2 linked regions of the Schizosaccharomyces pombe genome follow. The main gene of each other region encodes a partner of the protein of the gene in region 2 in a complex. Each region holds a gene or a part of one and is shown on either strand. Other genes may lie near its edges. The genes, in order: rfp2 and slx8.

Region 1 (3,774 bases), on a different chromosome or scaffold from region 2:
GACTGGGTAACTAGCCCTTTTAAGCTTCCAAAGACTTCATTTCCCTCATTTTCGTCTGGAAGAAGAAGACTCGACGAAGACGAACTGTTTGACGAAGCCCATCCATCCCTTAACGATTCTAAGGGATTGGTCTGTTCCTCATTAGTGTTTAAACTATTTTCCTGATAATTTGGAAAAGAATCGAGAGTATCTGAATGGAATGTCGATTCCATAACGCCCTGTGCAAGTACAGCACAAAAGCAAGAATCAACGAAACTCGGCTTTTTTAAAATAAAACTCTAGAATGACCGAAACGGAAAAGTGATACTATGATATTAATGAGCGTGTCAAATCACTGCTAACGTATCTCTTTCCCTAAATTGCCTAGCAAAGTCTCTGTTTTTACACTTGGAACATGGTTAGCACTTGAATCAACTGCTCATAATCTTTGCTGCAATGAGTAACGTAATGTAGCACACTGTGGGTTTAGTACGTTAAGCAGTATATATATATTATATATACAATGTTTAAATACTTGAATCGATTAGATACTGTAAATTATAAACAAACATTACTGTATATTTGAAATTCAGAAAAAACTCTTTCAGGAAACTCCCTTGAATATACTAAGATTTTTAGCTGAAGAATATTTTAATTTGCAGTAAATAAATAAATTCAACATGAAATTGAACATTACGAGAATTCCTAGTATCCCAAATAATACTCATCTAAATAGTGTATTGAAAAGATTGAATCCAGATTTGTTTTTTGTAGAAGGTTTTAGGGTAAGAAAAGCTCTAATTAATTTCCCTTGTACGAAAAATGATGAATCAATATAGAAAGAAAAGCAATTGTTTTTGTGTGATAGCCTCGAAGACGGGAATAAATAATTGAAAAAAGGGGAAATAATCGTCAATAATGAATAAATCTTTTCATTGAGGATAATAGAGCACCTTAGTTCTTATAAGCATTACAAAAACTCGTATCCTTTAAAACCATTACTGGTTATTAAAGCAAAACAAAACGTTCCAAAAAATCGCCAGCGTATTACTTAACCGCCAAATATCCTCTATGGATAACACTTAGTATCCAATCGATAAATTATAAATATAAAGGAAATATAAATTTTTTGGTTATACGCTTTCTACAATGTTGCACCGGACAAGGCACAGTCTTCTTGCGTAACTCTTTTGCACAAGTAGAACAAAATAAGTGTCCACACTTTGCAGCAAAAATGGATTTTTTCTCATCACTTACTAACTCATTTCCACATTTTGCGCATGCAATATTATTATGAGGATGGACATCATAACAAAACCCAGGTGGAGGAGATACCCTTTCGGCGATAGAATTTGATGAATCCTGAGCTTTTTTTCTTGAATTTCGAAACCCATTTTCAAGAAGGGTTCTCCGTTGGGTTTGAGACCTGTTTCTAGTCCTTCGTGCACCATAGAATATCCCCCCTCCAACAGCCACGGGAGGTCGAGTGACTGGAGAAGGAATAGAATTAATAGTTGGAACATTAGAAAGATTAGCGTCAAGGTGGTTACGGCTTGTACGAATCCTTCGACGAGGCTGGAACTCTGGTATTCTCGTTAAATCTAGCAAAGTAACTTCTGAAACATCCGCACCGTCATCTTCTATATCTTCGGTTAGGTCAATAACCTCAGGGCTTAACCTCTGATCCCTTCCTGGTACTAGAAACGTGTAGACGTTAACATATATTCTATAAACCGAAATTTTCACTTACATTCTAGTCCATGCAGATTCATACAACACAAAGCATAAACCTTTATTAAATCCCAAAGCAATTATAATCTTATCAGTTTTTTTTAATGCAACTTGTAGGTAAAATCGATCAACCCCGTGAAATTCAAATGATTCGGCATCACTGTGTGTTGAAGAAAAAGAATATGCACACTGCTATAAATCTTTATTTTTAGAGCGGCAACGAAAATATGTACTCCTCGTAAGCTTCAATGTAATCTTCTTAGGAGATAAATCAATTAGCAAAGCCTAAATCGCTAACTTGGGTAGAATGAAGTACGTAGTGCTGCCACACCCCACAACTCAGTAATTGAAACTTCTCACCCTGCACTTTTCGTTACAAAATATTTTGAACAACTTGTTGTCAGTTAGTTAAATGGCTATTTGAAAAAAATAATAGGGAAACAATATATCAGCCTCTAAAATTTTACAATATCCAGATTTTCGTAAATGGATGGCACAAATAATACAATTCCCTTACAGTTTGGCAAGCAAGCACAAACATACGATATAAATGCGTTAATTGCAAGATTCATAAGACCGAAAGAAAGCTTTTTGATAAACAGTGTAGAAAAAGAATCCGAATCAAAACTCAACTCAAAGAGTACTACTTTACAATCCTCAGACTCTGAGGATTGGGATAGCGAAGAGAATGAGGACGACATTACGGACGTTGGCGTACCAGGTTCGCATGAAATTATGTTTCCGGGACATTCTAAGGTAAGTTGATTTTGTAGTTTTCTGCTTTTACTACATTTTTACTAATTTTTGGTAAGATTGTTACCACTACTACGTTTGACAAAAATGGGTCACGTTTTTACACCGGATCTTTGGACAACACAATCCATTGTTGGGACTTAAATGGCTTGTCTGCTACTAATCCTCATCCTTTCAAAATTATCGATCCTACAGACACAAATGCTGACAATGTTGGTCGTTATCCAGTGAGCAAATTAAGTTGCTCTACTAAAAACCAAATCCTTGCATTGTATACCCATTCTCAGCCGATTTTATATGACCGTGATGGCTCGTTGATTGTACGGTTTAGTAAGGGAGATCAATATATCCGTAACATGTACAATACAAAAGGACATATAGCTGAAATTACTGATGGCTGCTGGCAGCCTGATAGCTCTCAAATATTTTTAACTACTGGGTATGATAGTACTGCGCGTATTTGGGATGTTAATCGCACAAAATCGCAATTGGAAGTTTTCGTCCATGTACCAGAAGGTTCTCACACCGGACTGTCTCGTATACCAGTTACAAGTTGTGCTTGGAATCCAGCAAAACCCGATAATTTTGCAACTGCTGTACTGGATGGATCCATACAATTTTGGCAAAAGGGTTCTCGTACTAAACGACCTGTTATGAAAATTAAGGATGCACATTTACCACAACAAGGTATTTCCTGTCTTAGTTTTTCACAGGACGGAAATTATTTGTTAAGTAGAGGAGAAGACAATGCCCTTCGTGTTTGGGACTTGCGAAATTCTAATAAATGTGTGAATGAGCGTATAGACATTTTAACTCCTAAAGCTGGAGGCAACGCAATATTTTCTCCTACCCAAAAGCTTATACTTGCTGGTTCTACAGCTGTCAATAGCATGAAAGCACCTTTATTCGTTTTAGACGCAATGACATTAGATACGAAAGCTACGTTATTCTTCGATTCCAAGTCGACGGTTACTGCTTCCGTTTCAGCTGTCTCTTGGAACGAAAAAATAAATCAGGTTTCTTTGGGGTCGGCTGATGGCAACGCATATGTTCTCTTTTCGCCTAATGAGTCCATACGAGGAGTTAAGGATGCAGCAATGCGCCCTCCTAAGTCGAAGCATATTGATGACGACTTATCTAGCACTGTGCATATAAACTCATTGAGTGGATCCGCTGGAACTTCTGATTTTGGGCTTGTAGAGGAAACGACTGAATCCGCATCAGCTTATTTTTTGGAAGCACGGCGTCGGCGCAATGCAGTACGCAAAGATCCTAAGCTTTCTCGGCAGCCTCAAGTTGGTCGCTTGCTAG
Region 2 (4,734 bases):
GTAAAAATTATAAGAATGCGAATTCTAAGTTGGAATGTGAACGGTATACAGAATCCATTCAATTATTTTCCATGGAATAAAAAAAATTCCTACAAAGAGATATTTCAAGAGTTACAGGCTGATGTAATATGTGTTCAAGAATTGAAAATGCAGAAAGACAGCTTTCCTCAACAATATGCAGTTGTTGAGGGATTCGACAGTTATTTTACATTTCCTAAGATCAGAAAAGGCTATAGTGGGGTTGGATTTTATGTAAAAAAAGATGTTGCTATTCCAGTGAAAGCAGAAGAGGGAATTACTGGCATCCTGCCAGTACGAGGACAAAAATATTCATATTCAGAAGCACCGGAGCATGAAAAGATAGGATTTTTCCCAAAAGACATTGACAGAAAAACTGCTAATTGGATTGATAGTGAAGGAAGGTGTATATTATTAGATTTTCAGATGTTCATCCTAATCGGTGTTTACTGTCCAGTAAACTCTGGAGAAAATAGACTAGAATATCGACGGGCCTTTTATAAAGCCTTACGAGAAAGAATTGAAAGATTGATAAAGGAAGGAAATCGAAAAATCATTCTCGTTGGGGATGTGAATATTTTGTGTAATCCTATTGACACTGCTGATCAAAAAGACATTATTCGAGAGAGTCTTATTCCAAGCATCATGGAATCAAGACAATGGATACGTGATTTATTACTACCAAGCAGGTTGGGACTACTGTTGGACATTGGCCGTATTCAACATCCTACTCGGAAAGGAATGTTTACATGTTGGAATACAAGACTTAATACAAGGCCCACAAATTATGGTAAGTTCTGAATTGTTATTTTTTTTACAATGGATAGGTACGAGAATTGATTACACTTTGGCAACACCCGATTTATTACCTTGGGTTCAAGATGCAGATATTATGGCTGAGGTCATGGGTTCAGATCATTGCCCCGTATATTTAGATTTAAAAGAAGAATATGAAGGAAAAAAGTTGTCCAACTTTCTAAGTCACTCAAAAGAACCACCTTTACTATCAACGGCGCATCATTCAGCCTATCGGCCATCAAAAAATATTCATTCAATGTTCCAACATTTCAATTCGATGAAAAAGAATAAAAACAACTCACCCACTCAGAGCGAAAACGTATCTGCTTCTGCGTCCAGCGGCTCCTCACCAACTGTTTCTCGTGCAAACTCTGTCATAGACGTCGATGCCTACCCACCGGAAAAGAGAAGACGAAAAGAACAATCGAAGCTTCTTTCATTTTTTGCGAAGCAAAAGGAAGAGAAAGAAGAAACCAATAAAACAGAAGACGTTTCGATTGAGGTCCTTGATAACAATAATGAATCTGACATAGGGTTGACAGTAAAAAAAAAAGTAGAAAACGGGAACGCCTGGAAGCAAATATTCAGTGAACGAGCTCCTCCACTTTGTGAGGGTCACAAGGAACCTTGCAAGTATTTGACAGTGAGGAAGCCGGGAATCAATTACGGGCGGAAGTTTTGGATTTGTGCCAGACCGGTTGGTGAACTGATTAAAAACTCAAATGCAGTTTCTGAGGAAGATACTCAACCGTTCCAATGCAGGTTCTTTATCTGGGACTCAGATTGGAGAGCAAATTCAAAGGACTGAAAATTTGTAATGACTAGCATAACTTGCTCTTAATCAATTCTCAATTTTGATGTGTATAAACCGCAAAAAGCATTGAGCAGTGCATCACACATCTTTCATTAACATTCTTAATATGTATATACGGAATTTTGTACGGTTAAGATTTCTTTTTTTGAGATCCGAGCATCATTTCCAAACATATAACTTTGTTTGGATGTACTTTTCTTCTGCACACCGGACATTTTTGTGTGGCAGCCGTTGTACCTAAAGCACTTAGTATACAAAAATTGCAAAATATATGCCCACAGGGAGTACAAGATAGGTTTTCCGGACTATCCAGACAAATTACACACTTATAATCAGCTAGTCGTTGTGAAGATGGAACAACCTGTTTTTTGCTAGGTTCTTCTTTTTCAATTTCGGCGTTGGTGGTCGATGGGTTCTTTCCCTGTTCAAATTTTTGTTTTCTTGGATCATAGGAAGTCTCATCAGTTAAATCAATCATATCGCTTATAGTAGTAGGTTGCGCGTGAATACTATTAACATTTGTTAAACTGTTTTCAACGGAAGCTGGATGATTGTTGTAGGTGAATCTTTGATTTATGTCATCAGCATCATTCTGAAAATTAATGTCTTCCAAGTCGAATACTTCACTTTCCACATCTATGTTTAAATCAGAGGTTTCAACAGGTAGTGTTTCTTCTTGTGCTAGCTCCGAAGCAACCTCTCTTAGCGACCTTGGTGCACGATTCAGTGGTAAAGACTCATTCTCAGAGGTAGTGCCTGAAGGATAGTCTGTTGCATCTTCTGAAACCGGAAATCCGTTTCCTGGCGAATTCTCTACTGGAGAAGAACGTCTCCTATTTATTGCTGCATTTCCAGCTGCGACTCTAGCGGATTGAGATGGGATATTGTATGGTGCAGATAAGTTTCTAACGTTGGTATCTCTCTTATGTGCGGGTGGCATTTTTTTGCCAATTGGTCCTGAAATTCGAAAATAGTTTATAGATTATTGATTAATGGGCTAATATTAGGATAATTTTGATCGTATCCTAATCGATTGTCAAATGCTTTTCAGGCTTGCTAGAATAATAAAAGAGAATTGTGTTAACGTCAATATACGCAAACAGCAATTATTTTGGCAACTTGCCAACAAGTTTAAAATTAAATTTAGTAGACCTATGATTTTTGAAGTCTACATGGAAAAATTGGCTCACTACCACAATGTTGTAAGATGCTAGTCTAATTAATATTTATGACCTTTTTCATGAGCACATTCAATAGCGCAAGCGGTATTTCAAATAAGAAAAGAGAACAGAAAAGCTGGTAAAACTTAATTGTGTATCAATAATCTTTTCAATGCAGTTCATTAAACTGCGCAACCGACATTATTATGAGTATTCCATAAACTATGCAAAAATGTATTATGGAGTGCATTAAGGAATGCTAAAATAAAAAAACGATAACAATGTATATCGCTATTTCTTTTCCAAATTGTTGAATATTAGAGGAGTGTATATACTTAGCATCAACCAACGCCTTTTTTTTAATCTAGGTCTGGGTAGACGCAATGGTCAAAAGCTATACGCGGTACGAACCAACCGAATTTTTTGGTGTCATTGCGTCTTCGGGATGTAATATTCTCGGTCAACCCTCTTCGTCTGCTAAATCTGTAGGCAGAGCCATTGTTGGCGGTCTTGAGTCTGTTTTGGAATGGGATTTAAAGACTGGGCAATTACTATCAAAATGGAAGGATTCTGATTGTTCGGCAAAAGTTACTTGTATTGCAAACTTTGATGAAATGTACGCTGTGGGCTATGCAGATGGTTCTATACGTCTTTGGAAAGATGGAGAGCTCTTAATAACTCTTAATGGTCATAAAAGTGCTGTTACTACCATGGATTTTGATAAAATGGGCACAAGATTGGCCAGTGGAAGCATGGATACCGACATTATTGTATGGGATATTGTAGCTGAAACCGGCTTGTTTAGACTACGTGGACACAAGGACCAAATTACCAAGCTTTTGTTCATTACACCTCCTTCGAAGAATACAGCTGAAGAAACAGTGGTGGACACAGATATTGATTCCGGCGACATGGACGTTGACAGTAAATCGTCTGATTCGTTTCTTTTGTCTGTTGGCAAAGATTCTTTTATGAAGCTTTGGGATTTGTCTATTCAGCATTGCGTTGAGACTCATGTCGACCACCAAGGCGAAATTTGGGCTATGTGTGTTTCACCAGACGCCAAACGGTGCCTCACTGCTGGTACCGGTTCTGATGTTAAAGTTTGGGAAATCAGTTTTCCAGATGACAATAATTTCACTCCAACTACTAAAGCATTTCAGCAATTAGGTACCTTTACCCGTCAAAGCCGTGACCGTCCCATCACCTTGGCTTACGACGTTTCAAACCGTTATGTTGTATTCCAAGCTCATGACCGTCTTCTGGAGGTTTTTCGCCTTCGATCAAGTGCGGAGCTCGAAAAGATTCTGAATCGACGACGCCGTCGTAAAAAGTCTGAGGACGTTTCGATCACGTTAAAAGACGAATATGAACCTTTTGCTCTAATTCGAACCACTGCTCGTGCTTCGTCTGTAGCTTGGATACCAGGAAATCGTACACCTACGTTGGTAACATCTCTTCAAAATAACTCAATTGAAGTTTACGCTTTGGATGTCAAATCTGAAGGTTCTGCTGCACCATTAACTGAACGGGCTTCGCGTATAAGTGCCATTGAAATTCCTGGTCATCGTGCTGACGTTCGTACCTTGGCTTTGTCCGCTAATCACGATGTGATTTTAAGCGGTGCTAACGGCTCTTTGAAGCTTTGGAACAAGAAAACCACATCTTGTATCCGTACAATCGAATGTGGTTATGTACTTGCTGCTAGCTTTATAAATAACGACAAGTGTATCGTATCCGCTTACAAATCAGGAGAACTTGAAGTCTATGACATTGCTAGCTCTTCTCTTATCGAACGTATCCAAGCTCACGATGGCGCGATTTGGGATTTAGCGGTTGGTCACGATGGCACTTACTTCGCGACTGCCTCTGCCGATCACACAGTCAAACTCTGGTCTCTAAAATCGTCTTTTGATTTCGTACCAGGTACCACTAGAAAAGTCA

Evidence for each region.
Region 1: slx8 (region 2) and rfp2 share a complex: the UniProt entries of both Schizosaccharomyces pombe proteins name them as parts of the E3 ubiquitin complex.

What each region holds. Positions count from the first base shown.
Region 1 is NC_003424.3:1,678,391-1,682,164, reverse strand, and holds rfp2 (SUMO-targeted ubiquitin-protein ligase subunit Rfp2), read right to left. Parts: upstream 1,998-3,774; 5' UTR 1,752-1,997; coding exon 1,730-1,751; intron 1,677-1,729; coding exon 1,081-1,676; 3' UTR 694-1,080; downstream 1-693. Other genes in the region: 1-phosphatidylinositol 4-kinase Lsb6, read right to left, coding at 1-212; wdr70 (WD repeat-containing protein), read left to right, coding at 2,197-2,466, 2,523-3,774. UniProt on the Schizosaccharomyces pombe protein: Mediates ubiquitination and subsequent desumoylation/degradation of sumoylated proteins and proteins containing SUMO-like domains. Involved in maintaining genome stability where it acts in the cellular response to DNA damage.
Region 2 is NC_003423.3:1,287,391-1,292,124, forward strand, and holds slx8 (SUMO-targeted ubiquitin-protein ligase E3 Slx8), read right to left. Parts: upstream 2,822-4,734; 5' UTR 2,571-2,821; coding exon 1,761-2,570; 3' UTR 1,625-1,760; coding exon of another isoform or gene 846-1,624; 3' UTR 809-845; downstream 1-808. Other genes in the region: AP-endonuclease Apn2, read left to right, coding at 16-808, 846-1,624; U3 snoRNA associated protein Dip2, read left to right, coding at 3,174-4,734. UniProt on the Schizosaccharomyces pombe protein: Mediates ubiquitination and subsequent desumoylation/degradation of sumoylated proteins and proteins containing SUMO-like domains. Acts as a critical suppressor of gross chromosomal rearrangements (GCRs) during normal cell cycle progression.